Linked DNA regions of Lytechinus pictus. The protein of the gene in region 3 interacts with the protein of the main gene of each other region in a pairwise test. Links are inferred from orthologs where the notes say so. Each region holds a gene or a part of one and is shown on either strand. Other genes may lie near its edges. The genes, in order: homeobox protein MOX-2-like, synembryn-A-like and syntenin-1-like.

The links.
Region 1: the proteins of syntenin-1-like (region 3) and homeobox protein MOX-2-like interact in a two-hybrid assay, tested with the Homo sapiens proteins (2 studies listed by BioGRID and IntAct). The link is inferred for Lytechinus pictus from reciprocal best matches to the Homo sapiens genes SDCBP and MEOX2.
Region 2: the proteins of syntenin-1-like (region 3) and synembryn-A-like interact in binary tests that used the Homo sapiens proteins (3 or more experiments, as listed by UniProt). The link is inferred for Lytechinus pictus from reciprocal best matches to the Homo sapiens genes SDCBP and RIC8A.

The regions. Positions count from the first base shown.
Region 1 is NC_087247.1:6,713,354-6,725,109, forward strand, and holds the start of homeobox protein MOX-2-like, read right to left. Parts: upstream 4,497-11,756; 5' UTR 4,478-4,496; coding exon 4,057-4,477; intron 1-4,056. UniProt on the Homo sapiens protein: Mesodermal transcription factor that plays a key role in somitogenesis and somitogenesis and limb muscle differentiation. Required during limb development for normal appendicular muscle formation and for the normal regulation of myogenic genes.
Region 2 is NC_087253.1:23,114,953-23,126,266, reverse strand, and holds the start of synembryn-A-like, read right to left. Parts: upstream 5,321-11,314; 5' UTR 4,911-5,320; intron 3,301-4,910; 5' UTR 3,202-3,300; coding exon 3,112-3,201; intron 321-3,111; coding exon 273-320; intron 1-272.
Region 3 is NC_087261.1:15,772,906-15,783,881, reverse strand, and holds the start of syntenin-1-like, read left to right. Parts: upstream 1-6,612; 5' UTR 6,613-6,780; exon of another isoform or gene 6,781-7,329; intron 7,330-10,976. UniProt on the Homo sapiens protein: Multifunctional adapter protein involved in diverse array of functions including trafficking of transmembrane proteins, neuro and immunomodulation, exosome biogenesis, and tumorigenesis.

The DNA.
Region 1 (11,756 bases), on a different chromosome or scaffold from region 3:
AACATCCTTGAAATCATCATCTGCTTTTAATTCTAGGTTTCAACCAGCAGGTCTGAGCGGTATTATTGTGCAAGCACAGTCCTATTATGCCCACGCCCCATGCATATAGCTGGCTCCTATGTAGTATGGGATGAGCTCGAGTAATGGAGAAAAAAAATCCATACAATAAATAAGTCGTTACATTAATTACAGTTATGAGGGGAAGGTCGAGGGAGCGAAACATGTAACAAGCAAAAGGAAATTCTGATTTTAAAAATCAAATTTAATTTGGTATTTGAAACCCCCAAACACAGTATACAAATACATCCAAGAGAATTAAAGTTCTTGTGTGCGAACATGTCGCGGTCAAGAAAGTATTTGCCTTGGGTTCTTTTTTTTACCAATAAACTTAAAATTTCAATTTACAACAGAGAATTATTTTAGAAAATTAATAAATAAGTTTTCATAAGTAAAATGCATTTGACCCAAACTGCCGAACATGGTGTAATAGATAAGCATTTCAGTCCGACATTTCACTTCAAATGGGGAGAGGTTTGAGTGTGAGCACCTCCATTGTGCGAGGGAACAAAGCGTCCTAAGCGACCGAATGAAATTTTTAGGACCTATACCCTTGATGATGTGAAGGGCACTTTTGCACTACCGGGTATTTATAATTTGCTGACCCTGTATACCATCATAAGCAATTTTCTGCTTAGGTTCGTGTAGTGGTCAACCGCTAGTCCGTCCATCCGCGAGTCGTAAATATTCCTAATGATTTAAACGTCGACCATATAGGGGTCGATGCTTGTCTGATTTTTAAAATCATATGGGACCGCGTCCACATCATGAGTTTTATTTTAGTCACGGTCAAAAGTTGTAATAATGGTTTCGAGGTTTAGTTTCGACTCCAACCACTATCATAAACAGTAAGACAAACAAGAAACCCCCTACATTCAAAACCACTGTCAACAAACGAAGATCGGATGTTTAATGTTCTATGTAATTTCGATTGGAGTCTTCAGTCCTTTAGGGGAGGGGGTTCATCTGGTATAACACCATGGCGGTGGATTATTAAAATCGAAATCATAATACAAAGAATAGAACTGACAAAGCAGATTGACTACAAGCAAGTCGTGAAAAGCGGCAAAGCCCCATACTCGCCCCTAACCAAATCTTCGTCACGAAAACAGTCAGTTTAAATTGAAAAAAAGCTATGTTTTACTATAGTATTTCAATTAATGTACTCGGTTGTTTTGACTTTCGTGATGAATTACAATCAGATCAAGTCCATAGATACGGATGGTTTATGAACACCAGAGCACGTTCAATGCTCCTCACAGGCTGTCATCACATACGACTTCCCCTCGCTATTTCTGATTTATACATCTCATGATAAACTATTCCCTCTCAACGTCATTAATCTAACATCGTGTCGTCTCCTTTGGAAAGAAATGAACGCAAAAACATGGAAATAAGATGTCAGAAATCCAGGTAATAGAAAATCAGAGGGGAATGCGCCCCAATTATTCTCTGACCGAATTGGGGATTGAGATGAGGGGAAAAATATGGAAGAGGATGGGTGGAGGAGGGGGGGGGGGGGCTGGGATAGCATTTATGATTAACGGGTGCAGAGGGTCGGTATCGTTCAGGTCGAATGGGATGAGTTATGACTGACGACAAAACTAAGGGCACATCTCCAGCCAGAAGTTAAAGGATCCAATATACCATGGACCTACTACTCTGAGTAGTTCCACGGATATACTGAAAGCAAAAAAAAAAAAAACATCCAGCATGTCAAAGCATGCTCTGAGTATGCCCTTACTATTGTGATCACTTTAATATCATTCAAAATAAATAGATTTCAATAAGTCGGATTTGATTGTCATGATTTTAGCTCATCAAATGGAGCTGACGACATCAATAAATCCAAATCTAAAAAAAAACCATTAGTTCATAGCCCATTAATTTAATTTGTCTCCCTCCATTTCAACATTATGTTCATTATTTTAAAAACCATATTTCATTGATTTCTACTCCATTCACGCAGTGTTTTATACTACAGGGAAGGCAAGATTTCTCAGAAAGGATATTAATATTATGCTATAGGTGCTTTAACCCAAATCGTTGAGGGACTCGTTAAAAATTTGCTCCGGTATGTTCTCGGATCGTAACCCTTGGCTACGGTTCATAGTCTGGGCTATATTTCTTCATATCCAACGACTATTGACTGTGACACTGAGCTGGACAACTCATTTTTCATCTCCATCTCCTTTTCCCTTCACTTTAATTTCATATCATTTCCATTATTATGATGAAATGTCTGATGATTTATCTCGGCCCGATAACCACGGGTGAAATTGAAACTTCTGTTGGCAATTGGAGAAGTTTGGGGCTTTTTTGCCAATCCGGTTTCTTTTTTTTCTCTCCCTCACATCGCCCCAGCCCCCTTCTCACCCCCTCTCTCTTTCATTCTAAACTTATTTTCTTTATTTCCAAATCCTATTTCGTGGGCGGAGTAGGGAATATTTTAAGCCACATCGACAGTCCACAAAACACGGATTAGAAAGTTCAATCTATCTTAAAATGAAAACAAAGTGTAAGAAGGATTTTATTGCAAAATAGTCTAAATTAATTAATAATGTTTAATCGTTGTGTTTATAATATATGCGACGTTTCCATATAGTTGGGCCTATAAAACCGAGATACGGTTCTGATTTCAATTGAGGGTTCGTTATATAAAATTGAAATACAATCATAAATTTATTATCAACAATAATTATGTTGAGCATTCGAAATTTGAGTTAACTTGCAGATGATTTGGGGTATTTTATCAATAAAAGAGTAACACCAACTACCAACGTAACCAAATGTGCTTACTATAAACAGTTCTCAGCGAAATTGATCATTTTTATGCTTAAATCTGATGCACTTATCGGTGGATGTTTTATCGCTGTGGAACAGACTTTACGACGTGTAATTTCATAATCTTGACACGAGATGACAGGTGCGCTACTTTAAACCCTTGTGCGCAGCTAGTGATGTAATATCTGACCAATCAGAGACGGTCTTGTCAGATCTCGCGGGAATTGGAACTTTAGAGATTACACGATCTCCACTGAGAGCTGTTTTTTTTAAGATATATTTTTACTACCATGTTCCGACTTCCTTTCCGCATTCACTTAGTAGAGGAACAGGTGGTCCTGAAAATTTTACCAAGATTCATGTTGTACGTGGGTATATCAAGGGCAGATTTTGTTTGGATAATAAAATCGTAATAGGAGGATTGGATCTTAATCACATATCGTAAAATTTCATGAAACGTTCGTTGAAGTCAGAAAGATTATATAATTCATTATTCCAAACATAAGCTCTAATAATCCTCCACCCCCGCTTATTCTTCTGGCAGATAAAACACTGGAAAATTCTCGGTTTTTTCTGTTATCTGACGTAGATCAATATAATTCGCTGATCTGAAAATAATCAAGATATATTAATTGGGCCCGAAAGAGAGAGTTTTTTCTGTTTATTCTTTGTCTCCTTAGGGTTATTTGCTTTTGTCGTTTTTTTTCCTTTAAAATCATAGTATGTAAAATGTCATAGCCATAGGGATTCGTGGTCGCTCCTAAACGTTATATCGCTCAATTAAAACACAAGTCACGGGATTCTAATGGCCTATATTTTGTTGGGATACTGATTTACAACTCGTTAGAATGAGAATGTCCCATGAGGTTACTAATTGCACGCAACTGAACAACATGGAGACAATGATCATTACGACGTGTAGAAAACAACATCCCTGTAGAATAGATATGCATGCTGTCAATCAATTTCAAGATGATAAGAACTTGAAAACAATCTGAAAATCATCATTTAATTCATTTTCAGGCAATTTATATGCATCCATCATAGAGCTATAGCTCTATGCATACATTTTACTTATAGTTACTATCTGTTCGACACCCCACTCTATAACTGTCCCCATAGATATCATTTTCGAGAGGGTAATTTTCCAAGGCAATTTTCTAATATAGGAAATTGTAGGCCTATATGTAATCGACCAGAAGAACTAAAACCTACCATTACTATCTGGGCTGCCTTTTATCGTGAGATCATCCGCACAGTTTGTCGTTTGCTGGTGGTGCCCCAGTGCCGTGGGCGACACGATTGGCGGACTGGACGCGGTCACAGGGGGCGATCCTCCTCCTCCTCCCCCACCGCCGCCGCCACCGATGCCGGTCCCCGATGACTTGATGAGGTCCAAGTCGTGTGGGGAGATGTAATCGGAGTGTGTCGGAGTGTGGTGCGCCGCAGGGGGGTAGATGCGGTAAGTCGGTGTGTGAGGGGCCACGCCCCCGGAGTGGAGACCACGTGACCCTGCTGCCGAAGCGGCCGAGCTCCAGTCCTGGAATTGGGTGTGGTGGGAGGGTGCTTGGTGATGGGGGTGATGTACACCCCCTGATGTGGCCGAGTGATGGTAGGGCATGCTTGGTAGTGACATGCCTGATCCGCCCAGCGATCTCTGCGAATGGACAATTAGGAAACAAGTGAAAAAATAAACACGAATTAATATCTTTTTAATACATTCAAAGTAAGATAAATGTATTATGAAACATCAAGTAATGGAATGAAAGAATAAACGCGTATATGAAATGAATCAACCAATCAAATAACTTTTTAATAAAAAAAAGGGAAATGCAAACTTAACTTCGAGTCCTTTGACAAAAATAACAGTTATTGGTTAACTCCCTTGTAAGTTGTATCGAACCATAAATCGAATTCAACCATGTTCTATGGGTGAAGGGGATGGTAGTTGTAGAGAAGAGAAATGGGTCGAGTTTTAAGTGTTGAGAAGATAAAGACTCGCCGCGTTCCATATCACACTTCTTACCATGCAATATGAGAAAAATAATGATTGACAAGTATGCAGATGACACCGAGTATCATTATACACAAAGGGGATATCTCACATCACGATGTCATAGCGTAGGTCTATACTATAGCTTGAAGTATCGTGTAATAGTCATCAATATATTACGCGGTCATATAGGATGCCGTGCAATATTATTTTATATCAAATATTATAAACGCGGTCATATAGTACCCTTTTTACACAGGATTTTCTTAGCCCCGGACTATCGCTAACCCCGTACTATCCTTAACCCCGTACTATTTTTTTTTCCTTTTCACACATGCCAAATTGTTATTGCTAACCCCGGATAAGGAATGCTTGCTTTTCACACACGAAACTCGCTAACCCCGGACTAGTGGTAGCTCATTCACTCGTACCTTTTTACACACGCTAAAATGTCCTTAACCCCGTACTATTGATTGATTGACAACGAATTTATTCATTCCAAAATTTCAACAAAGTTACAAAGTAAAGCAAAATATAATATAACATTTTGAAATGAAATAGGAACCTTCTGGAAAGCAAAGCTTGTTATTGAAGGTTTCCTTCAATAAATAAGACTTAATGCAAAAAACAATATATATATATATATATATAATATACTAATCATTGCCATTTAGCCCCACCTATAGTACGGGGTTAAGCTTAGCCCACTTTCGTTTTCACTAGCGATCTTAACCCCGTACTATCGCTCTTAGCACCGCAATTGCTGGGATAACCCTGCTTTTTTGCAGGGCCAAATAATCCCGTACTAAAGGTGGGGTTAGCCCACTTTGCAAAAATGCTGTGTAAAAAGAAAGTGGGCTAAGCTTAACCCCGTACTATAGGTGGGGCTAAATGGCAATTTAGCCCCACCTATAGCGTGTGTAAAAAGGGTATAGGATACCGTGCAATGTAATTTTTTATCAAATAAAAGTCGATATAATACCTAGCTGTCGCATGACATACATGTATGTGTAGTATTGACATGTACCTGTTGTATTTAAGCTGGTTCAATAATTATAAAGAAATGTCCTTATTCAACAAGAATTCATGTATGTTTTCATTCATATTAAAGTAGTACTTGACCCAAATATGTTACATAAAATTTAAAAGAGTGAAAGAGAGAGCACCTTTCAAACACTGGAACTGAAACTAGGGAACATGTTTGCACTTTTATCTATGGGTGCAGGACAGTCACTGCAGGTAGCTGCATTATTCAACATAATATAAAGGTCAAGTCCAACCCAGAAAAATGTTGATTTGAATAGAGAAAATCAAACTAGCATAACGCTGAAAATTTCATCAAAATCAGATGTAAAGTAAGAAAGTTATGACTTTTTAAAGTTACGCTTATTTTTCACAAAACAGTGATATGCAGAACTCAGTGACATGCAAATGAGACAGACGATGATGTCCGTCACTCACTATTTCTTTTTTTTTTTTGAATAATAGAATATTTCATTTTTTTACAGATTTGACAATGAGGATCAACTTGACAGCACCATAAAATGTTTTAACAATGGTAATTCCACATGTTCTGAGAGGAATGAAACTTTGTTTCACATGACAATGAGGGGAAATTGGAATATTAAATTTTCATATTTCATATGATAAAAGACGAAAGAAATAGTGAGTGGATGACGTCATCAGTCTCCTCATTTGCATACCAATGTTGGGGAGGACTTGTCCTTGACTGGTGTCATTTGCCAATGGACAGGAAAAGGTATAATATAAAAGGTTCTTTAATGTATGAGTTTTGTATATACCGACCTAGCAATGGGGTCCTTACAAGGGGAGCAAAGTTGTACCCCTTGGTGAAGATCCAAACCCTCGCATCCATTTTAGTTTCGTACTACGACCGACCTAGCAACGTGCCAAATTCACTGTATATATCCTACTAAAAGAATTTTTCTTCTTGGTTTGTTGTAGGTTCGGTCCGTGGTTTGGCCATGGATCCTGCTATGGTTTGGCTGACATAACCTGCGTTTGAAACACATCTGCAGTAGAAAGCAAGCCACGCAGGCGGTCGGGTTCGTCAGGCAACCCGATGCCTGGAAACAAATTTGTATCGCCATCCAAAGCGATATTCGTCACCAGTGAATCACAGCCGAGGAGGAGATGGGTATTCACCTGCTCACCTTTCATCACAGATCATCCTGTCTTCATCTCTCCCTCTCTCTCTCACCCACCATCCTTTCTGAATACCCCCTTCACTTTACTCCTGTTCTATTCCCAACCTCTCCCCCTCTCTCTTTCTTCCTTCTTCCGATATTAAATAATCGACCTCTATCTTTCCGTTTGTCCTTTCTCAATCCTACTGAAATTTCTCTGTCTCTCACTTTCCTCACCCTTTTCCTCCTCCTCCACCGTCTTGTTCTTTTTCTTCTTCTTCTTCCTCTTATTCTTAATTTTCTTCTTCTTCTTCCTCCTCTTTTTCTTTTTATTCTTCTTCTTCTTCTCCTCCTCCTTCTTTTTTCCTCTTCATCTTCTTCTTCTTCTTCATCATCATCATCACTATCATCATCATCATTATCATCATCATCATCATCACCACCACCACCACCACCACCACCACTACCACCACCATCACTACAACCACCATCACCGTATTCTTGTATTTCTTATTACCACCATTGCTTCTTCTATACGTTCTTCTTCTTCTCTGTTCACCTCTTCCTTCTCTCTCTCTCTCCATCTTTCTCTCTCTTCATCTCTCATTCCCGGCCTCATGCACTCCCAATCGACCGGATCATCCAGTCATCCATCCATCTGTTGCCCGTCCGTCTTCAGGGGAGCAGTTTCATGAAGCAAATAATCAGTGAATTGTCACTATTGTCACTGACAAATTTGCAATGAGCCAGTCAGATGCAAGGATATCCGTAGCTTATAACAATGGTCAGTGAATATCTCGGACTATTCGCCTCATGAATCACTCCCAAGATCTTTCTCCTCTCTCACAAACCTCGCGCTCCGCCTCATCCAAAGTCGTCATGATAAAACAGATATATTGTTTTCAAACTGCATGGGTGGACGAAAATGGGGATGGAGGGGGGAGGGGGGGGGGGGGCGGCGGTAAAGTCAGTGTGTGTATGCAAGGTGAACGGCGATATTTACCATTGTTCTTTTAACTATAAAAAATCGGGATCAAACCAAGAGCTATGGCAAGCCAAACAATTATTATAGAAATATTTCGTGCGTAATCTAAAAGACTGAAATCAAATTGAAATGTGGTCTGCCTTCCATGTTCTATTTCGGAGCTCCAAGAGAACAATTATGTGCTAATGATGATGACTAAAATAAAAGAACAAGATGGGATATGACATCATCAATTTGCTCATTGAATATTCATGAAGACATGCCTAGAACTGTTTCACTGGAAAATGAAAAACTTTGAAATGACATAATTTCGTTATTCCTTGTCCGATTTCGATCAAATTTTCAGTGTTTTGTTTGTCTGATTTTTCTTTATCTGTTTAAATTATACTTCAGCATGGAATATCCCTTTAAGCGCTATATAAAAAAAATGTTGCTTGTTATTATTAATCATGCTAATCCAATGAACTCGTAAGTGTATGTATGAAGACCATGACTGTGAAGGATTATACGTTAAAATACCATCCTACTACACTATGAGCAACACAGGCATACGGCCACTATGTCCTTCACATGTAAATAAGATTTGAATTTCGTCATGGTTTTCTGAACATCCTATCCCCGCGGCTTATTTTTGTCTCCATCATTTCACTTCAGTCAGCAAATATGAGTAAGTGATGCTCTTAATTAAGCCACGTGTGCACGTGATATCAGCGATGCGATGTCGGACAAGTCGTGTAATAATAGTCATTCGAAATATTATAATCCAAATGGAATGTCGGGGAAGTAATGTGAAGGATGATGCACAAGATATATAAAAATCAGAAATAAGTAGAGTAAGATAGGCATTTCTATATCGATTCGTAATAATAAAGATTGAAATAGAAAATTGTCGTACAATGACGTTTTTTCATAATACATATGCTGAGGAAACAGATAGATGATTATCCTATCGATAACACCCCCTCCCGAGAAAATCATATGGACTATTTTTAACGTCTGAGGCAATTATGATGTAAAATAAGATATGATATTTTCTTTCATGCATTTAGTTCAAGCAGAATTTCAACATTTATTGACTCATAATGACTTAAAAAATAAAGTTTTAATCTACTGAGAAATGGTTCGAAATGACTTATCATAATAATAATACTATAGACTTTTTCCTTTAAGAAGAAAATATTCTCACGAAAAGAAAAATATATATTTAGATATGAACCTTATCTCATACAGATTTCGTCCGGTCATATACGGAAACAAACCAAAGCATCAAAGCTATATATTTCCTACTTTTACCAAATTTTAATCAAAGTTTATTAAAAACCAAGGTCAATACGCGTTTAGTTCCTGTGGTAGTTTAGCCCGAGACGCTGAGGAAATCGCTTGTTCTTTCTAATGTTTCCTTGCTTGAGCTCCTATGATTAACAATCCCAAGTGGAGCATCTCTTAAACAATATTATTTCATACCGGTTATCAAGAGGAAAAACTGCGTTAACACTTTGACCTCTCGAACAAAAACCGTCCACGTTGTTGGAGGTGGAATCCTTCGATTTCCTGGAAATTCTTAATCTGCATATCAATATTGTTTCCAACTTTTTCGTAATTCATGATGATTGATATGGATAGGTAGATGAATGGAAATGTATAGGCCTATAAATAATTTATATATAATTATAGAATATTAAAGAGAATTAGTCAAAGTAATGGTCAATATAAACCAAAGATTTTGGTAGACACTAACTAATCAATAAGTTTGTTGATTTTGACAAAAAAAATTGTATCGATCGGACACTCACATATTTGGTTAGCCTTCCTAAATAGAAAGACTAGATAGATAGATAAATAGATAGATAGATAGAGACAGACAGACAGACATATAGATAAATAGATGGATAGATAGATAGCTAGGTAGGTAGGTAGATAGATAGATAGATAGATAGATAGATAGATAGATAGATAGATAGATAGATAGATAGATAGATAGATAGATAGATAGAAAGGCTGATGGATGGATGGAATATCTGCTATTATAATGGCCGTTTGACGTTTATGCCTTTTGCGCATTTTACTAAAACCATGAAAACGACAAGTATATAATATAGAAGTAATTGTGCATCTAACATAGGCCTATATAATCATAATACAGTTAGGCGGGGACATGAAATTATACCAAAATTGGTTATCATTATTATTTGACAAGTTCATATGAGATACAGATGGGGTAATAAGTGTTCTATATACCTTATGCCCAACATCAGGTAACTCGAGGTAAATAATAATTCTTCACTAAACATCATGAAGATTGTGACGCACCACCTTGGTATTTTATCTATTACATGAAAATACAGACGAACAAAGATAATCGCCAACGAAATGTCTGTGTAAGCCCGAGCTGATTGCGCATGATATATACCCCCATCCCTTTCTTTTCTCTCCGAGTGATATAGAGGCTTGCAAACAAAACATGATATAAGTAAAGCGATGAGAGATTGGAAAGCACCCATCAGGTCGACCGAGCGCGTGCTCTGTTTGGATTGTAACAATTTGATGTTTTCCCAACAGCGAGCCCCGATCATCGGGGTATTTTCCTACCCTCCCCAATGCCAAGAGCGCATCATCTTCGGTTTCATCCCGCTCCGTCATGAAGAGGAGCTGGATGGATGGATGCGACGAGATGGATAGGAGCTTCTTGGCGAGCGAGCTTCGATACTCCTGAATCCTGTCGAATTGAACGGGATGGGGAGGGAGGGGAGGGGATGGGTAAGGGGCAGTGTAACCTCTCCCGTTGATTTAACAATAATTGGGCATACAGAATTGCACTTTCACTTGAAATTATTCCAATCTTTCACGAAAGCGGCGTCGATGCATGATATACACTGTACAGAACGAAGCAGGAAAACTCCCGGCCCATAGATTGCAAAATCGTCTCAAAAACGAAACTGAACATAATTTGAGTAATCGGATATTACTAGAGTTGGGGATGGTCACGATTACATTTTTTTTCTTCATCAAAATGGCATTTTCATAACAAATGCACACCACGGATACTTCCCAACATGGGATCCGACTGGCTAATCTATACATGTACACAATCATCATGATCATACGTAGTTTTAGAGGAATTGGTCAGCTTTAATACCTCCCACCCCTCCCTATAGACAGCATGCCCCTAGTTACCCCTCAAATGCGTACTGCCGTATTAACTCCACTGTTGATTCTAAATATTGCAAGTGAAAGAGATCTCAGATTCGTAAAGCACATGAAGAAGAAAATCAAGATGTGTATGGTAGGTGAGAGCTGGTAGAACTCTGCCCAGATAAGCCAAGCTGAGACGAGACTCGGAAGGTGAATACCCCCACGAATGTACACGTGTGGGATTAAGGTAAATCTCTGGGTATAAACCTAATTGATTCGACTCTGTGTGAAACAACATACAAGTAATCTTGGTAAAATATTAGTCCCAAATATACTCCCAATGCATCTTAGGCCATCACTCTTTAAACCCCTTTTTTCTTCAGAAGAATAGTTAATTTCATTTTTTTCGAGATAGCACGGAGCTAGACATCCGCAGTGCGTCGAGGCGGCAAAGACATTTGCCTCGTTGCTCCAGTGGTCACGTTGCGCAAATGATTACGTAATCGCATTCCCTACATCTTCTTTAGATGTTAATATACCGTCGGAGACAGCGATGCGGGTCTAGGTGCAGTATTGGATTCAAATAGACGGGGCTTGTGTATTTTAGACTATTTTATTACTTTATTTATTTTTGCAGTAATCCACGTAACACGGTACA
Region 2 (11,314 bases), on a different chromosome or scaffold from region 3:
TGTTTAAGTATGAGTCAATGTCACACTTTAATACTCTTTGTGAAAAAAACCCTGAATATATTTCATTTGTTATTGATAAAAGGCTTTACAAAACAGGAAAAAAGGCCCCATAATGCAAAGCATAGTACTTGATAGAATACATGATTTTCGTATTGCATTAATAATCATTACATGTAATCAATCATACAGTACTTTACTAATAAAGTGTATGGTCAAGCATTATCCCTTGTGTGATACAGACACTAAGAATAATGATAGAGATAGATGCTTACCTTTTTTGTTTCTAATTGCACGTCTGTAAATGAGAATGTACCAGCATTCTGTTTTAAAAGAAATTAGATAAATGAAATTGATAACTACATGTATACATTGTATAGTATCACCATCCTACTGAACTTATTTAAAAAACAAGAATAGTATAATTGTTCTAAAAAATGATCAATTTTTCCGAAGCAGGACCCTTATGGCCCAGTGGATTATGCTTGAGACTTTGAAACAACAGAGGATCGTGGGTTCAATGCAAACCATGGCGTTATTTCCTTTAAAAAAGAAATTAATCCACATTATGCTGCATTCCACCCAAGAATTTAATCTTTGACATGCTTGTATGATGTAAACAACAACTGTCATGCTAATTCCGGTTATGATATCCAAGTCCTTTGGAAGCTAATGCAGACATTTTGCTCTATACAAGAACTGCATATCATTCTCAAAGAAATTTAAAGAACTGATAAAAGATTATCTGCATTTAAATGTAAAGGATAGTAGTTGCAGCAAACAACTATTTCAGGTGAAACTCTTTAAAATCAGGGTTACTTGTCACCAGGGTTGAAAATACACGGGAGCGACGAGCAATTCGGCCCTCGTGTGCTTTGGAATCGCTCTCGTAACTGCCTAAAACTGCCAAGTACTGAGCGACTCCCAACATGAAAATCGCTCCCATCTGCGCCCATCCAGTCTCCCATTTACAACTGCATATTACTGTAGTAGTAGTCTGAGCCAGGCTAGCACAGCCGCAGTTTTTGCTTTCATGCATCGTCGCATTCTGACGTGTAACTGAGTGGATTTTTAAAATCACGGGCGCGGCGCTTCAGAAAAAACGCGTATCAAATTTCAAACTCTCGATATCCCTAGTACTATTTTTCAAAACGCTGCGCGGCACCAGGTCTCGCCGTAACTTTGATAGCAAAAATTTTCCTTTTCTATTGGATTAATTTTGTAAGATACCATCCTAAATTTGCAAAAAAATAAGATAGTGAACTCTGAAGAAAATCACATATTTTATTTTAGAGTAACTTTCGGAAACCCCACTTCTCAAATCTGAACTAAGCCACTTGGTGCTCTGGAAATTTGGCGCAGATCCCACAATTTTCAGACCGAAATTAGGATTTTCTGTGGGGATTTTTGGTGAGTAACATTCAGTGCCCGAGTGTATACATGTATTGGCGCTAATGCAGTTTCATACCCGCCTGTGTTGCGGTGATGATTGACTGTGAGCTGTGTGTTGCGGTGGTGATTGACTGAGAGCTGTGCTATGTTCAGTGGCTGAGCTGCGTTAGCGTAGGCATAGCCTAGCCTAGCTTGAGAAATAGTTGACATGGTGACATTAGCTGTCAGGCTGTGATGCATTCAATATTTCATAAAATAATTTTCAAGTGAGTTTTAGTTAAAGAGTATTCATGAAAAGGATTCCTCTGAATACAAATTCTGTTCAAATGTTATAAACTTCATCCTTTTCAATTTGATGGACAAAATGGGATATTAAAAAAGAAGTTGAAACGTCCATTTAATTTAATATACGAGAAGTAATGAGACACAAACAATAAACATTAGATCTACATGCAAATGGACAACAATAAAGAAAATAATAATTCAACAATTAATAACAATGAAGAAAAAATAAATAGCAATTAAATAAACAATGTTTAACATTATATAAATTTGTAAACAAGCAGGAAAAACTGCGATGCGAAACCATGTGCTGAATCACTCTTAAAAATGGCTCTCGAAAACTGAAAATGGCTCTCCTTTATTTTTCAAAATGGCTCCCTAAAAATAAAAAGTAATTTCAACACTGCTTGTCACCATATTATCATATATCTAGATCTTGAACATTAATGTAAACTTATCTTTGTGAAAATCCTGAAATATTAGCTCAAAATCAATCATTATAATGGTCACAGGGGTATGAGTGGTCACAAATAAAAAGATCTGAAAAAAGGAAGTGAAGAGTGTTGAAAAAGTCTGAAATAGAAAGAGCTTCCATACTTTTTGTACAGAGGAAGGCCAAAAATAAGCTGAAAATTAAGCTTAAAAAAAAAAAAAATCATCTGAAATCAGATAAAAATCTGATCTCCCACACCCCTGTGATCACTAAGCAAATGCGGGACAGTGATATTAATATTACTTGGAAAAACACCCGACATTTGATGGAATTTCATGCTTATTTTGCTCATTTCTCAGCAATTACTCATTTTCTTCCAGAGCCACTTGGCACATATTTTGTATTCATACATACACACTTGGGTGGTAATTTTATTGGATTTCTGTTCGAATTCATTTTGAGATCGTTACCAAAACTGGTATTTATCTTTAATCAGGAAAAGGTACATTGGAAAACCATGGATAGATAAAATAGGCCCGTATTCTGAACTCAGGTTTAAATTAAACCCTGGTTTAAAGTTGTGGTTTAACTATGGAGAGCCAATTGTGCACAAATTCCTTTACAGTACACATTCATTTTATTAACTCACATGACACCCAAATTGTTCATAATTGTCTTGGAATGATAACTGAAGTATATTTCTTCATTATGAAAGCAAAAGGAAAACAAAAAAGAAAACAAGAAATATATAATATAGACAGAATTTTTGAAATGTTTGGTTCCCCATAATTTTAGCACAGAGTTAGACCATGGTCTATAAACCTGACTCCAGAATACGGGCCATAGGGTTATATAAGAAGCATAATTATCGACAATCGGCCTATTTCTTAATAATTTGTTGCTTGGCTTTTATTCCTTTGGGACAGTATTGAGGGAAATAAGAGACATTGTACAAGCATACTATATTGAGGGGAATCAGAGGTTATAGCAGGTGATTATTTGTTTACCTCTTTTGTGAATTCCTGCAGTTTGTTACAGATTTCAGTCTCGTTCCCAGATTCAAAGGCCGGCACAGCCGACACCAGTAGCGTGTTCATCTTGGGACGCTGTTCATATGACGAACTTGCCTTGGAAATACAATGTACTTTGTACCTCTTGAGATGTAACCAGAACTTGCACTTCTTCAAATCTGTTCACTATGGAAGTGGAAAACAAAATAGAAAGAAAACATGATGAGAGTTTGTGCTGTGAACACATATGAAATGTGCATGTCTCTTCCTTATGGCCGAATGCAATCACTGTGCATGCACTTTTTCGAATCTGCTTTTAATCTGGAACTTTGAAAAAAATACAATAAGAAAGTGTTCTTTACCTGTGTATGTACATAATACTGAAAAATTGGTTGACGATCTCTGCACTTTTCTAGTAAATAAGGTAATACAGTCTCACCTTTCTTATCCGGCCTCCCCTTATTCGGATCTATTATCCAGACAGACACTTGCCAAGATTTTTTTTTCAATCTAGTACACGGGGAAATGAGATTTCAATTTAAACTCAAAATTCCTATGCAAACTCACTTTGATTACCGTATATACATTTCCAATATAGTCTACCTACAACCACATTATTTTTTATGAAAATATCTTACCCAAATCACCAAAAGAACTAGACAGGATAATTTTCCAGTAAATCGGGGAGCAGCGCAACCATTTCATCACGTTCACTCCTTTTTTTCCAGGAAAAAAACAAAACATGTCTCACTAGATAGTGCGAGGCCTCGATACAGACAGCGCCATCTATCAATGTTTGAGCCTACAGTCATAACAATGGCTGACTTCCCCAACGTTACGGACGCGAGCGTCGCGTAACGTTGGGGAAGTACAATAAGAAACAAGATGGCGGCGTAAACATCGGGCAAGTCTCTTCCGTCTTTTGACAATATTTTTTCATTTTTTTTGATGAATTCTTGTTTAAAAATAACAACGAGAGCGTAGAAATGTGGGAAATGAAGTTTTATCCCATGTACATGATTTAGAGCTAGATCTTTTAGAAGGAAAGTAGAAATCTCGGGGGCGAAAGTTTCAGGGTTTTTTGCGGTACACGCAGATGAATAGGGAGGACTCCCTGGCTTCGTTTAGAGTAAGCCTACGTTAGTAAATGATTTTTACTCTCAAGAAGCCGCCTGGCTACACTGCACCACCATCATCATCATCATCCTCATCATCATCCCCATCCCATCAGCATCATCATCATCATCATCATCGTCATCCTCCTCATCATCATCACCACCACCAAGTCCAAGACCAAAACACCGACATCAATACAATTGTCAATCATCATCTTCGACTTCGTCATCAACACAATCATCATCCATTGATAAAAATGATAAAATTAATAGAGGCTAGAGCTACCTGGCGATTCAGTTTCTGTCCGTCCTGATCCTGTGCTGTGCAATTCGAATCAAGACAATCATGAGTCATGACAATAATTTTAAATAATACTCAAATTAATAGATGATTCGTTGTGGACGAACACAATAGCACTGCCATATTGCATGTACAAGTTTAACAACATGATAATATCCCGCATTCCATTACGATTACGGGCCGCGCCGGTAGCCTACCGGCCTAACACCGCCGACGTGACGCGAGTCACCCCCGAGTGCCGGGCCAGGTAGATCTACCACAAGACATCGATGGTTGAGCCGCGGGTTTGCGTGCAGTCGATTCTCGACCATTTTGCCTTTTGGGGGGACATGATTGCCTTGTTGGCATTATCAGTTTCATTATTTCTCAACTAAACTTACCTCACGCTGTTCTGAACATCTAATTTGGGGTATTTGAAAGACACTGATCTCACTAACAGCTCATCAGGCACAACGGAAAAATAGATGGCTCGTCAACAGGATCAACATCAAAGAAATTTCATGTCGATCGACTGTTCTGATTTTGCATCACACAATATAGTTTGTATTGACATCCCTTATCTAGTTCTATTTTGTGTAATTAATGATTTTTGAAACACTTGATTTTGGGGGTAACATGGGACACCCCGGGCCCGGGGTGCAATCCCCCCCCCCCCCCCCCCTCAGTGTTATTTAGGGTACGCCTATGCTAGTTCCCTCCCTTTGAAAGCACCCCCCTATCGAAGGTCGGCCAAAATTTCTGAACCCGGCCTCAGTTCGAGGGCTTTTCGCTGCATGGCCTTTTCTGCTGTGGAGACCCCCCTAAATCCAGAACACTGCTCAATGTACCCCCTATCTCAGGTGAGCTCTCATTCCAACAAAAGGTTCGTACTTTACTTTTTCAAAATGAAATAATCCTGAATGAGCCTTCAAAACTAGCAGGAATTTCAGAATTTGATCCCGGGATTTGATCAAATTTTCTATGATATTCAAGATATTTTACAACCGTTTAACCCCCTTTAAAATTTCTCAGGGTTCCAAAGAGAGAGTCAGAGAGATAAAAAAAAACACCCCCTTTTTGAAGAAATCTCCGGTGAAAATACAAAAACATCCCCTTTTTTACAATTCGCGGGCCGGACTTGTCCCGGGAAAAAGGGCCCTTTACCGGACATTTTGGGAACACGCATGCGGTCCTTCCGACCTCGGATTGGGGGGGGGGGGGGGGGGGGGGTGCACATCAAGAGGTGGTCAAATTGGACATAAAATGGGGGTGAAATGGGACGACCACAAAATAATCAGTAAACGCACTTCGGAGATTGATGATATAACAAACAATTTTGAACGAAGATATAAGACAAAAAGGGATGATTTTGTGACAGAAGGCCCTTTACAAACTCTAACAGTTAGTTGGTTGAGGAAAAAAAAACATAGTCGCAGAACATTTTAAAGTTTTCCCTCTATAATGAATTGCATACACCATTCTCTCCTCAGTTTCTTCCTGAAAGTTCCTTTTTAATATAGTAACAGGTAGGGTTAGTCTGGTCTATTAAAGATATCATCTAATAGATGATCTACATTTATTCTTAACATTTTCTTATATGACAACTAAATTAACATTTTAACATTGGTAAATTTATTACTAATATGAAAATTCAACCAATTTGATTATTATATGAGCTGAATTTCTACCGCACTGATTCATTTCCAAACTTTTCTTTCATTTCCCCCCTCTCTTTTTTCATTTGAAGATTGCACTTCTGCAATTAATGAGCATACAATTGGTCAAACGTTGTAAACACCGTTTTGAAGAACACAAACAACACTAAAACAACTGTTGCATGCAAGAACACTCAACAATAAGAGCAAGTCAAAATATGATATGATAAATAAAATATGATAACAATATTCTCTCATAAAATCATTGTTTCCTTGCAGTGGCGGACCGTGACCCGAGGAGACAAAGCATGGGAGGGGCACTGTATTGTAAGTGAACAATATGCTGTGCCCAGTGGCGTACCTAGGATTTTCCACAGGGGGGGGGCAAAACCGTCCGCCAAAAAAAAAAAAAAAAAAAAAAGGTCTTCGATCATAAATAAAGGATTTCGTTCCAGAAAAAAATTGACAAGCAAAAAAAAAAAAAAAAAAAAAAAAAAAAAAAAAAAAAAAAGGTCTTCAAGCTCGTCAGGGGGCATTAAAGGTCTTAAAGCTCGTCAGGGGGGGCAAAAAAGGTTTTTCAAGTCCGTCAGGGGGGGCAAAGATACGTTTTTGCATGGGTTGTGACTCGTCAGGGGGGGCAGAGTGCCCCCCTGCCCCCCCCCCCCCCCGTAGGTACGCTAGTGGCTGTGCCCCTCCAACGCTTTGTCTCCTCCGGGTCACGGTCCGCCACTGTTTCCTTGAATATTAAATGTAAATTTGCTATGAGACGTGCCTGTAATTTAAAAAAAACAGTTATCTCTCACAGTCACATGTATAAGTTTTATGATTGCATTTTAACATTGCATGTACCTGTTTTGCAATATTCCCTAACTGGATGCGATGTACTTTTTCTTTTCCTGTCTCTCTCTCCCCCTTTTTTCTCCTTTTTATCTCTTTCTCTGTCTTTTTACTCTCTTGCCTCTTTCTCCTTTTCTATGGTTTTCCTTTCATCAATGCATCAAACTCCCAATTGCTTCATTCACTATGGACAACGTTGTATTGTAAATCAGTATTGCAAATCATTAATGTTATATTTTTGTATTTCTCCTTTTTATTTGGTGTCTGACCAGTTTTCACTATTGATGCTTACCTTTTTTTTCCTTCTATATATGTATATCTTGTTTACTTAGTTAACTTATGATTAGATATGATGTCCTTTCAGTTTCTGTCTGACTTTTCTATTTCTCTCTTTCTGTCTTTCTCCCTCCTTCTCTCTCTATCTCCTTGTTGCTCTTTCCCACTCTCTCGTCTATTATGATTGCCATCATGTCATTTTTTTTTTTTTTTTTTTTTTTTTTTTTACACATAATTCTTATATTTTTTAATCTGCAATTTATTGTTTACTTGTGGGTCTTTCTTGTTTTCCTCCTTCATTCCTTTTTTCCCTCTTTATCTTTTGCTACACCACTCTCTACTCTCACCTTTTCACATGCTCACTCTTGCCATTCTTGCTCCCCTTTCTTGCTCCTCACCTGCTTTTTTATATATACAAATTAAATCTGTCTTATTACATGCAACTCCTCATTCTATTTCTTTTTATACTATTATTGCATTCTAAACATAATGTATATTTTTTTCTTCTTTAATGGTCACTGCATGTTATGTATTTATTTATTTCTTTGTTATGTATTTTAAAAAATGTAAACTCACATTGTTAGTCCTCGGACTTTTTGATGAGTATTGCTTAATAAAACCGAATTGAATTTGAATTTGAATCTGGATCGTATTAACACTCTTTACACAATCCTTTAAGAGCTCAATTTTATTCAAACAAAATTCTGTGAGTATAAAATGACAAAATGTTGTGAGCTTTTCTGGCTCGTCGACACAAAGCGGCAAATCAGACTGACATTTTCCCTCCTTGAAAAAACATAATTATTTGTAAAACAATGAAAAAAAAAATTCTGACATAACATGTGAGTATCACACAGCAGAAATGAACAAGTCACATTATGAAAACATTCAATATTTTTTCCTACACATAATCCTATCCCATGAGGTATATACGTGTAAATTTGAGGGGGTGGGGAACTTCCTCTTTTGAAAAGGGCACTTAATTAAAACAAAGAATTAACATCCTAGGCATAGTGTGCAATAAAGATGAAGATGAGGATGTCTATTTCACAGTGATGGAATTTGTAGTAGAACTTACATGAACTGGGGAAATGGAACAGTGTGTCCCATTTCTCCCTCTTATTCAGTAATAAAAAATAAAAATGGCAGTCACTGTTTCTAAACTGTCGTTTATCAAACAATTATCTTCAGAAGTTTGCACACTTATTCAGTTACTAAATAGCATAATAAAGGTCCTACCAGATCGATGTGATATACTTGATATTTTACTCACATGCAATTAACGATGAAAAAGAAAAAGGGGTATATAAAAAGAAACTCGTTTATAACTTACCTGTAGAGCTATAGAGTAGCTGATATATCCGTTTGGAGCTATGCCTAGGCACACCTTTTTACTGATGTAACCGGATTGCTGATTGGCTGATTATTTTACAAGTTACAAGAGTGTCCCCTTTCTGCTCCCCCTAACGTTATATACTTTTTTTGTATTAAGTAGTTTTTATTGACAACTTCAATTCATATACAAAATAAAATATATATAACAAATAGAAGTTTGATGTCTTTACAAAATTGATAAATACCTTGACAACTTATAAATTTAACATCATTTTTTTTCTTGAATGTTACAATAAAACACAATCATGTCACACATCTTCTAAAACATAATTATAAATAACATTGATAATAATAATATGCATTAAGAATAAACTTCTACAATAAATTCAACATATTGAATTTTCAGTGTCAAATACACAAAAATAAATCATTAATAAATAAAACGAATTGAAGCCATCAGCATATTTTTTTTAAAAAACCCATTGCCTCAGCCTCTTCACTCAAATAAAATAAATCTCAACAACAAACTCAGCCCTGGACCCTACCCCCCTCCCCCGACCCTCCCCAAAACACCCCCATCCCCTATCCGGTGGAGAGCTGGCTCGGGCTCCAATAAATGGTCTAGTAATTAAGTTTTTCCATTTAGAGAAATGGATTGTAAGAGTCCCCCTCTTTGTTGCTAAATTCTTTTCTTCTCTTTGATCCCCCCTAATACTATTTTTTATTTCAATCAATGAAGGAGGTTTTTTTAATTCTCGGTTTTTGTAAATAAGATATTTAAAGGACAAGTCCACCCCAATAAAAAGTTGATTTGAATAAAAAGAGAAAAATCCGACAAACATAACACTGAAAAGTTATGAGATTTTAAAGTTTCGCTTAATTTCACAAAATAGTTATATGCACATCCTGGTCGGTATGCAAATGAGGAGACTGATGACATCATCCACTCACTATTTCTTTTGTATTTTATTATGTGAAATATGAAATATTCTAATTTTCTCCCCATTGTCAAGTGAAACAAAGACTAATTTTCTCTGAACGTGTGGGATTAGCATTGTTTAATATTATATGGTTCAGTCAAGTTGGTCCTTATTGTCAAATCTGTAAAAAATGAAATATTGTCTAATTCAAACAATAAAAAACAAAAGAAATAGTGAGTGAGGGACATCATCGACTGTCTAATTTGCATGTCACTGAGTTGTGCATATCACTGTTTTGTGAAAAATAAACGAAACTTTAAAAGGTCATAACTTTCTTATTTAACATCCAATGTTGATGAAATTTTCAGCGTTATGCTAGTTTGATTTTTTTATATTTATTCGAATCTTTATTTTTCTGGGATGGACTTGACCTTTAGCTAAAATCAAAACATGATTAATTAATTGATATTTACCTTTACTTTTCTCCTGCTTCCCGAAAAGAATTTCCTGCCAACTAAATTTATTCATTTCAAAATTTAAACTTCTTGCACACATATCCCAAAGTGATTTTGAAAATTCACAAGTATAAAATAGATGTTTATACGTTTCTTCTTCATTTTCACAAAATGAGCATAAATTGGTCGAAACAAGACCAAAACGGAAAAGGTGGTGGTTAGTGTATATAATATTATGCAAGAGTTTATACTGAAACTCCCTTAATCGACTATTCAGTGTGCAATATCTTAGTCTTAAAAATATACTTTCTACTTCCTTATTGGTAAGATCATAATTCGTTCTAATTTTGTCGAAAATAGAGGGTTTAATGTCACTTTTATTCAACAGCTGTTCGTATATTTCTTTTGATTTTAAAAGCATTAAATTAGTTGTTTTCTTACCCAAATTGAAATCGATTCCAGAATTATGCTTTGCATTTATTACGATATTGTTCTTCCAACTAACTATACTGCGTGGATCGATCGATCGACCACGCAAGGTCCAAGTGGCTACTAAACAAATTTTTAAGTACTGTCTTATAGAAAATTATTATCATATAGAAAAAGTGAGGCAATGTTAACGCTGCTTTCAAAACAACCCCATACCCAGGGCCATTTCAAAGACGAGCCCCCCCCCCCCCTCCCTCCATTACAGTTTACACCCCGGCCCCTGACAGGTCCATGCTCTAATGCTAATAAATGGGCTTTCATGACGTCGCGTCGATGTATCGGATTTGTAAAATCCGGATATTACCGTATGCGGAATCGTCCGGGTCAGAATCCGGGGCATGATCCACGATGACGACTTTGCGTTTTTGCTGGAGAATCATCGTCTAAAATAAAAGGTAAACAGTAATTTAACTACCTCAGTGTAAAATTTATTGATAAATGAACTCTATAAGCTTCTCCTTTTCATGTTCGGCTGTTTTATTGTCAATCTGTGGAATATCTTGGTAATTATCGTTTGCTGGGCCGGGTGATATTTTAGTGTTTGTGAAATGTCTGATCGCAAGAAGAAGGGTGATCGTGAGCGATTTATTCAGTGTGCAATGAGAATACATTTATCAAGGAGTCGTGATGTGGCAAATTTAATTTGTGTGAGAAGGAAAATGCGCGTCCTGGTAAATAGGAGTGTACCTCCTATTTGCAGTCTGCGAGCACCCTGTCTGGGCTGTGTTGCTGTTGACGACGTGAGAAGTTGAGTCAACTCAGTCAAGTTTATGCAACATACATCTACAGAAATTTGTCTTTTTCTAATAAATTCTATGTTCTTAAAATTAAGTTAAAT
Region 3 (10,976 bases):
AAACAAGTCTTGTTGGGCGATTATTCAACTAATGGAAGGAAGACTGATGTAGAGTCAGCTGTAGTAAAAATTGTGTACCTTGGTCTTACTACTTATGGAAAAAAACCAACACACCATCCAATGGTAACTTCCCTGAAATCCTTGATTCCGATTGGCTGATTAGCATTGGTGATTGTTACCATTGTAATTACCATTGGATGGCAAAGTTACTACTTTTATGCAATTGGACCATGGGGCCTTTATCACAAATACAACTGTGGTAACTGCTGAGCCCCTTTACTAGTCTGCATGCACAGACCCTGTTTGAAACTTTGATCAACAAGTGGCTCTGCAGACAAAGACTAGCCTATATAAATTCTTCCTGTTTCAATTCTGAGCGAGAGGGCCTTCAGTACACAAGGCATTGTAGGCTTTGCATTCAGACCCCTCATCTGGAGTGAAGGGTTTGCGCAGCAGACTACCCTGTTACCATGGTAGTTGTGATAATTTCAATTTCAAATTTTAAATTCTTATGAAACAGGCTCCGTGGGTGTTTATCTGTTTCTATACTCTGAATGACTGTACCATGAAATAGATGCCAAATGTTTTCTTTGACTTTATACAACATATAATTTTATTTTCTTACTCTTTATTAAATTTGTCTTTTTTTTTAATAGTAAATCACGTCATCTTGACCCTCACTAATGTTTTCAAATGCTGTCTTACAAATGTTGTAAATTCATGCATACCAGGTATATGATGCAGTGTTTAAATTTTATACAGTCAGGCATCTTTTTCTATTGATAAAACAGTATGGCATATAATGTCCGTTTAGTGACTTTAAAAAGTTTTTTTTTTCACTTTCCCAAACTAATGGTTGACAGTACTTTATATCAATAAAGACATAATGTGGAACAATGATCCAAAGAGAAACATTGGTAATATTACTCAGTTACTTTGTAACAGTACTTTGTGCTTTCATATAACTCCATTTTATAATAAATATAATAAATATTAATGCTTTTATCCAGTAGAAGCAGTGTACAGTGAAGTATTCATAATATTCATAGTAATAATATTCTGCTTTGAACTTAATTCTTCAGTCTTACAAAGAATTGCGGTAGACTTGAATCATACTCTAATTGTGATTGATCTAGGTTTTTCATATTTTAAGTACATAATTTAAGATTAATTTCAGTTACAGTTTGATTTGGATCTATCACTCTTTGTAAGACAGGGAGCAGGGCCCTGTCTTACAAAGGGTTGCGATTGATCCGATCAATCTTAACCGTGGAAAGCCAGCAACGTCAGCATTTTATAAATGCATGTTTGTTTAAAATAATTTCTAGATATAATGTATATTCATAAATTCATTGTTTTCTTGACAATTTGGAGTTTTCCCCTTTGTTTACAAAGGACATTTTGCAAATTTCCTGTAGAAAAATTATGACAATGATGGATTTCCATAGAGATACAATTGATTGGATCAATTGTAACTCTTTGTAAGACGGACCAGGGCCCTGTCTTACAAAGGGTTGCAATTGATTCGATCAACCACAACTACGGTAAGCCAGCAATGCCAACATCTAAAATGCATGTTTGTTCAAAATGTTTTTCAGATATGATGTATGCTCATACATTCATTGTCTTGACAGTTTGATGTGCTCCTCTTTGTTTACAAGAGGACATTGAGCAAATTTCCTATAAGAAAAATTATGGATTTCCGTGTAGTTGAGGTTCGGTTGATCGGATAGATTGCTACTCTTTGTAAGAAGAGACCCAGGCCTACATCTCTAACTGTAATCGGGGGTGATGTCAGGATTTTTCTAATTGGGGGGAGGGGGGAAGACGGAATAAAAATGGCGTCATATTTTTTTCTCGGTTGAATTATCGGGTACAGTTTTATACATGTAGAGTTACGCTTCCTGTACCTCTCCTTTTAATACCCTTCTCCCTTCTTTCTTCCTGTTCTTCCTCCTCTTTTTTTCCTCTCCTTTTTTGTCACTTGTTTTCACTACTTGAAAACTTTGTGTTTGGTCGCCTCATCTGCCCCCCTCTCCTCCATGTTGCACAATCCTTGACTGAAACCAAAACTGTAAAGTTTCATCTACAAGGGCTATTATTATTCAACTCAGAGAAAGTTTACCTCTTGCATACTCAGACTATTAATAACAATGGTAATAAACATACATTTGTATAGTGCAGCCTTTATATGAATATATTATAATGTTTGATATCAAGAACATAAAAATACATAGTATTTAGGCCTGTAGCCAGGCTTTTCTATTAGAGGGTTCAATCACTTTTCTCTTCTTTTCTCCTTTTCCTCCCAATTATTCTTGCTTTTGAATTTTTTTGGGGGATTTATCGAACCCCCCTGCTACAGGCTTGGTGTTGTATATTTAAAACAATTATAATATTTATTGAATTATGTGTACATTTTTTGGCAATAACTTGTTTCCATAGAGGTGGTGGATATGACACCTTCAAGAGAAAGCTAGTGATTTGTTAATACCATTGACAGGTAACTTTACCAAAGTCAAATCTTTTAGAACCACCGGAATAAGCCAGTTCGTAGTTCCTTTCTGCGCATGATCAAAATATTCTACGCATGATCAGAGGAAGGTCATTTGTACTAAAGTGACATGGTGGTTTAAAATTTAATGAGATAAGCACCAACTTTGATGTCTTGATTATTCATATATTCTTTTGAATTGTGGTTTTCATTTACATCCAGAAAAAACAACAATGCGTCCACGAACGACTGGTATTTCACAGTTTGCCAAGTACATTGTGCAACATGCTATGATACGCATTCAAAGTAGGAATGCAACAAATACCTTCATAAAGTATTCATTGGTGTGCTATTCTAGTCACCTGGTCTATTCAATTTCTTCATCCTGCTATGTAAGGCAAGCTTACGTAATATCTTGCTTTAAAATCTGCCTATCATAATGAAAGAAATGAAAGGTCATTTGACCAAAATTGTCCATGAAGTACATGTAACTACGAACTGGTCTATTGTAACTCGGAAGAAGTATGAAAGATGATTATCTAGTCTAAATTATTGCTAAATCATCAGTGAAAGTCTCTTAAAGAAGGCTATTCTATAAAACAAGCATAAGGGAAGGGCATTTTAGGTGTGAACACCAGTGGACCAACATTCTTTCTAATATTAATATAAAGTATGTCTTTGTATTTGTGTCGGCTTCCATTTACCTTTCCCAGATGTTTTTGTGTATTTCAAATAATAACTTTATTTCAAATAAAGTCAGTTTGAGAATGATATTCTTCTATCTATTAAGTAAATTATATGTGATGTGTTTGTGTTGTCACTTCTAAAGTCTTTCAAAATGACATTTGTATGGTGATAAAGATATTGAATAGAAGTGTAATTGGATGTTTCATGAGAGAATACAATCATATAAAAACATACAATTTTGTAACTCCAATGGCTTATAAGGTCATATAATTATTAATTAGACTTTGTCAAATGTGCATTCTTAAAACAGTAAAGGTTATTCGTTAAAACATATAACAAAATTTGATGAATTAAAAGATAGTGGATTTGATGTCTCGAACATAGTGCAACATGAAATTTGAAGAATAAAACATTATTTGGAGTGCTCTATGTCCAAGTTAAGCGTTCTGTATGAAGCAGTCTATTTGCCATTGTCTAACTCTGTACAAATTAACCCAAACAAATATTCTCACTGGTTCTGGAAAATAAATGAGTGTTATTGTACCAGTACTCATTTTAACAATCATAATCATGTTTACATGTACACCTTTCCATGTTCCCAAATAGTGTTCTTTATGATAATATGTGAAATAATTGTTTGTGATTATGGTGTAAATGCTTGCTTTTTATTTTCATAGATCGATTATTGTTCTTAGAGAGTGAATATTTACTCAGACATCAATATAGATTTTCTTAAAAGTAGGTTGGATCCACATTTTAATGATTTTTTTCTTACAGTATATGGCTATATTGTACTTGCACAAAAAGTTACCTCACAAAAGGGGCTAGTTCCCCTTTTATGTGATTGTGATATCAGATTTTTTGTCTTTGTTTTTGTGTTTTGAACATGTGAGATGAACAATGAAAGCTCTTCAAAGTTCCATTTTCTTTTGTATTGTAGGATGGGGCAATCACATACCATGCAACGGGCCCCTGGGGCCCGTTGCAGAAAGAGTTGTAATCAATTGCAACTTGATTTTCAACCAATCAACAGCGCTCATTTGGGACTTGCGATTGATTTTTTGACTTGCGTTTAAACGCAACTCTTTCTGCAACGGACCCCAGGGCCCCGTCTTACAAAGAGTTACGATTGATCCAATCACCCGTAACTCTATGGAAATCCAACTGAGTCATAATTTTTTCTACAGGAAATTTGCAAAATTTGCAAAATGTCCTTTGCAAACACACCAAATTGTCAAGAAAACAATGAATATACATCATATCTAGAAAATGTTTTGAACAAACATGCATTTTAGACCCTGTTGCTGGATTTCCATAGTTGTGGTTGATTGGGTCAGTGGCAATTCTTTGTGAGACGGGGCCCAGTAGACATGTAGTGTAGGCCTGTGTGGGGCTGATGTTTTCATTTCAGTAAAGACTGAACTCGGTTGCTTTTGTAAGCAAAGTCAGAATCTCTTTTTGAAATGGTTGTTTGTTTTAGGAAAGACGGCATTATCTTGGATATAGGCATTGCTTTTTGGAGTCACTAGATATTGATATGTATTTATTTGAAAATGATCCCATACCCCTTACCGCATACATTCGTAATTCCGAAGCTTCGTTATTCCGAAGGTTCGGATATTCCGAAGGTTCGTTATTCCGAAGGCTCGTATTTCCGAAGGTTCGTAATTCCGAAGGTTCGTTAATCCGAAAACGAAATGAGGTTCGTAATTCCGAAGGTTCGTTAGTCCGAAAACTAATGATTAACGAACCTTATTTCGTTTTCGGACTAACGAACCTTCGGAACATCGAACCTGATTTCGTTTTTGGATTATCGAACCTTCGGAATAACGCCACAAATGTTCGGATTAACGAACCCTTTTACGTTTTCGGATTAACGAACATCGAGGTATATGCAATTTACGTGTTTCGGAATTACGAACCGTCGGAATAAAGAACCTTCGGAATTACGAAGTGTAACCACCCCTTACATCAATATATATATTGTCATTTTCATTACCATATTATGGGTAATATAATAAACTTGTGATGACAGATATTGTGTTTGGTGCTATTCATTTGATTTGATTTATTTATTTCCACATTCCAATAACAAAAGTATATACAAGTGTAATCATTTTTTCTTAGCATAACATAACAATAAGCAAATGACATAATGAATAACATATGCATATATACATTCTAATAATCTAACTGAAATAAATTTATACCTGGTAAATTTCTTTTTTAAAAAATTATTTAAACAAATAGCAGAAAAAAATTATATATATACTTATATCGACATAACACATTTTGAAATGTGGGAGACCTTCATCTTAAGCTTAGAGCTTGAAATTGATAAAGGCCTCATAATGGTGTATTATGTCTAAAACATGTGTGTACTTTCCATAAGAAATGTGGGAAAAGCTTTTTCATGGGGGGGGGGGGGGGGGGGGGGGCTCACACTCTGTCCAATTAACATGAACAAAAACATCAAAACTACAATTATTTGGATGTTTATATATAGCCCCCTTACATATGGCTCAACCCCCGGCCCCCACAATTAAAAAATAATGTCCAAAAGAACCTACGACTGATATGGTCTTGAAAATGTTGAAATGCAATAAAGAAAAATGATATTACACCTTCACTTAGTACTCCATAAATGTATGATAGATATGTAAGATAGGCCTACATGTATGACACTGAAAAAAAGAGGAACTTAATATTGTTGAATATTTTAACAAAAAAATTTAGATCCTAATTCATAGAGAAATATAGAAATGTACGTCTGTTAGAGGAACTGGCAATTTAACTGTTGAAGTGTTAATAAAGTAAAAATCATTTTACTTTTAAAACTTCAACACCAATTGTCTATATGGTTTTCAAGACATGCAAAATGAACTTATTTTTCTAAGGATCGGAATTCACATTGGAAGTTTGTGTGAATTTGAAAAAAAAGGCTGGTATATAATCTTTTTTTAAGGTGACCAGTCACCAGTGCCCATATCTTCCCCCTCTCAGTTGATTGTAGATAGTTCTAGCCCAGAGTTCAATTCAATTATTTTTTTTTCTATTCAATTATTTTATTTTATTTTCCACTTTCAATTTCATATTTACAATTATGATACAATTGACATAGTAACATATAATCACATTCGAAGTACATACAAAGTTGATAACATTATAAAATTACAATAGACAATTATCAAATCGAAATATAAATAATTGAAAGGGAGGGAGAGTTTTAGCTTTAGGAATCAGTTTGTACTATTGTAGCGGTTACAACGTTTGCTTTTCTATTCTTAGTGCTTAAAATTTACATGTATTATTAGGTTAAAATTCGACCCCACCCGCTTCTAAAATAAAAATCAGGACCCGTGATTTCAGACCTACATGTATTTTATTTGGGCAGCGATGAGAACTTCATTATTATCACAAATCCAAAAATAATAGTATGACATCATCACCATCATCATCATCAGCTGACCCTGACGTCATGAGCGCATTACAGGAAAAATATAAAGTGGATGCGATTTTGCAACTGACGATACAACAGAGCCGAATTTTTAGCAACAAGTTAAAAGTACTATTATTCCGCTTCAAGTTTGCCAAAAAGGGTAATTTTGTTTTCTTTTCCTGCCGACTAAATTATCTGAGCAAGTAGATTTGTTACAGCCGAATTATGAGCCTGAACTAGAGTCGGTCGCTGCTGGCCATAGCGCGGCGTTGAGTACGAGTGGCAGCTGGGTCACTTCCCCGGCCGCGCCGGCCAGGCGCGGGCTGGGGCACAGGCCTTGCAAAGGCTTTTGCCCAAGGCCTGGCTGGCTGGCTTGAGCCTTGACTTGAAAGTTGAATGACGGTGACTGAGTGATATTGCACTGTCTTCAGTCTTTACTTGTTTATATCACCACCAGGTTAGGGCCATGGGAACTCTGCAGCAGAGCCCAGGAGCTGGATCCAAGGCCGAGCACATTTGAACAATGTAATTGGTAATAAACAGATAAACGTGATTCGACTCTCGAGCTTAGGCTTAGCTGAAAGTGAAACGGATCCAGATTCAATCAGACAAAGGTCAAAGCAAAGCAAGCCGGCAAAGCTCTTGTCCCGGAATTAAAAAAAACAAAATGAGAAAAATATCACTCACATTTCGGTCTCTTCTGACACAGGTATGTGGATGCGTATCTTAATTCTTATGCATACATCATGTGCAGGATCAGGAATCGTGGGATTGCCTGTGTGTCTTTCCTTGCACAAAGCTCAAAAGAACATGAAAGAAGGGAATTCTTTCTGTTTTAATTCCCACATCAATATCTCGTGCGCTCGCATCAACACTACTAAAGTTAGTACTCGTACTACTAGCCTGTAGTGAGTTAGCCAATCAGCCATTCTACATGTAATGGATAGGGGTAAAGAGTCAATCTAATTTTGTTTTACTTTATATGTTGACGATTCCACAGTTCAGTTATTTAGATCATTGCATATTTTACTATTTTACTCTGAATATTTCATGTTTTATTGTTTTATTGATTTTTTAAATTTTTTTATAAATGTTTTATTGTTTTTAAATCTCACTGAATTTTACCTGCTACCATATACCATCTCTAAGTGATATGATTGGAACTGATATAGTTGGAACTGAGCTGAAGATAGCGGTTTGTTTTTGGTGAAGACTTGTTTATATGCCATTTTGACAAGAGTTACGACAAACTTTTGTACATACTATAATTATCCTTTTTCATATAAGAAGGATGCACAAATTTTTTTTTTCATATATGTATACATCATATTGGTAATAATATCATTATGTGAGAAGTGAGATTTTTTATTATTAATAGAGTCAATGGCGACAATAGTCAAATATGACTAATCGCCACTCAAACCAACATAAGAAGAAGAAGAAGATGTGATGTGGTGTGTACTAGCTTTGATGAACATGATCTCTTCCTTTTCTCCTTCTGGTTTTGCCTCCTTTTCTCTCTCTTGTCCATTCTCTCCACTTCCTTACACCTTCATGACTTCCATTTTCATTCCTCTAGTTTCCTTCTTTCATTTTACTCACCTACATGTACCACTTCATTCTTCTTTTTCTCTGGACACTGTCACTATTTTCTTTCTAAGATCACATAGATCTATTCTAGTTTACATATTTAAGTTTGTGTATCATTTAGAAAATGTTACGATACTTTGTATGAAAACTTTATATGTAACTTGCATGTTTGTAAAATTGATCACAATTCTTTTAATAATTCTATCTATCTGTGACAGAAAGAGGGGAGAGAGAGAGAGATGGAGAGAGGCAGGCCTTAATGACAAAGATGAGGACAATAGAGGGCTCGGGGGAGGGGGGAGGATGAGTGAATAGGGATGCTGGATGGAGACGAGGGAGCCGGGAGAGAGATTGCAAGAGTTAAACATGGCAAAGCTTGAAATGCATACAACGTTTTGGCAAAGAGAAGAAATACACTGAGATATTGAGGTCCAAATGATTTTTTTTTTGGGGGGGAGGGGGTCATCACACATCTAGTAGAGTAGAGTAAATAAGGCCACATTTTTCATAATTCCAGTTATGTCTTTGTAATACCATTCAGCTATCTTTGACTCACTATTACCTGTAAATATCTGAGAACAGTAGATTCGGTCCACTGAATCTAATTGTTCTCTTTTTTTATGGTGAGTCACAGATAGCTGACTGGTAGTGTACATAGTTATATATAGTTTTTTATTGTAGTAAATACACACCAAACAGCAATAAGACCATAAGAATCAACATTTATGGATTTAGCTAGAGGGATTAGATTAATTACTAATAGACTACCTGCTTCATAAGCAAGTGAATATTTGACTTAAAGGGATGCTCCAGGGAGTCCGGGCTTAGAATATTTATATCTAAATAAATAGAGTGAAATTCACAGAGCAAAATGCTGAAAATTTCATCAAAATCGGATAACAAATAACAAAGTTATTGAATTTTGAAGTTAAGCAATATTTTGTGAAAACAGCTACATGCACGTCGTCATGAATATTCATTAGGTGAGCTGATGATGTCACATCCCCACATTCCTTTTTCTTTAATATGTTATTACATGAAATCATGTGTAAATGATACTGTGTCTCCATAAGTTGCAGCAATAAATAACTAATAATGCACTTAATCAGTTGTCAGTCCAATTGTTTTAGTTCTCGGTATAAAGATTTTTGATAAACCTAATTTCATATAATAAAATACAAAGAACAAGTGGGGATATGACGTCATCAGCCCACCTAATGAATATTCATGAAGACAAGCCTAGAACTGTTTCACTGGAATAATGCAAATTTTTAAAATTCAATAACTTTGTTATTTCAGCATTGCTTTAAATTGCATCTTGATTTGAATTACCAATAAGTAATAATAGCTTGCAAATTATACAGTGATTTAAAACAAAATCCCAAATGAATTCCAGCCTGCTCTCCGTGCACAGGAACTTGGGTTTCATCACCATTGTACTCGTAATTAGGCATGCTGCACAAAATTTGTCATATTTTCTATCATAGTGGAGCGTTGTGGCCCAGTGGATTAGTCTCCGGACTTTGAAACAGAGGGTCGTGGGTTTGAATCCCAGCCATGGCGTAATTTCCTTTGGCAAGAAATTTATCCACAATGTGCTGCACTCGACCCAGGTGAGATGAATGGGTACCCGGTAGGAATTATTCCTTGAACGCTTTAGCACCTATTAATGTGGCTGCTCAGCTATAGCCGGGTTAATAATATGATACCAAGTATCAAAGCGCAGTTGAGTATGCACATATATGTAGTAACTGCGCTATATAAATCGTCTGTCATATTATTATGTGGTGATTTTATAAAATTTTGGTACCTCATGGGTGGGGGCTGGGGGGGTGCACCTGACCCTCATACATACATGTAGAGGCTGTTGCATAATATTTGAAATTTGGGAAAGGGGGTGGGGACCATCCCCCCTGATTTCTGCCCATGTTGGCTATTTTAGTGTGGCTATGTTGGTGTACGCATTGTGTGCATGCATGCGCACTTATGCCTGCAGCACGCATGACGACACTGAAATTACTGTATCATTGTATAATTTGTAATAATTTCAAAGAATATGGTTTATATCATGATCATGAGAAAAAATCAAGTTCTTTGGTCTAGCTACATTGCCTCTACATGTAGGTCATATTTGGCGCTGTACATGTATATCTCTGTTTTTAATCTAAGAATTTCATGCAGTGATATACAAATGTACTTGTAAAAATTACAATTCCATTACACCATATTGTATTGCGTAAAATGGCAAATCATTCATTTTGTTCTTTTTTCAAGTATCACATTCATAAAGCGGCTAAGATCCCATTACAAATTGCACTTGAGTGTGAATATTATGTTTTGTGCTGTGAACTATGATTCAAGAGTCCACTGATCCAATAACATTGTGTGGGTGTGTGTATCAAGACCGGTAGGATTTCCTCTTTCACTCAAATACCATTTCCTTCCAATGAAATCATGCATTATTGAATTCACTCTGTCATGCTGAATTACTGATTTTGTCTGCTAAGTACAGGAAGAAGATTATCAATTCATTCGTATGAATTAGCTTGTTTTTTGAAGAATAATAACCAATTACATAGTGGAAGTAGTCACTATTCTTGTTCTTTTTGTGTATATACACACCTTAATTCTCCTTGTACTCAAGGAATTCTATGAGAGACAGTGTACATTACATGAACCTGTATTTTGTACTCTCATTTTCCCTCATTTCCCCCTAAAATATGCTGCCTATCTGACAATATGACAACAGAGTTTTCTATTCATGTA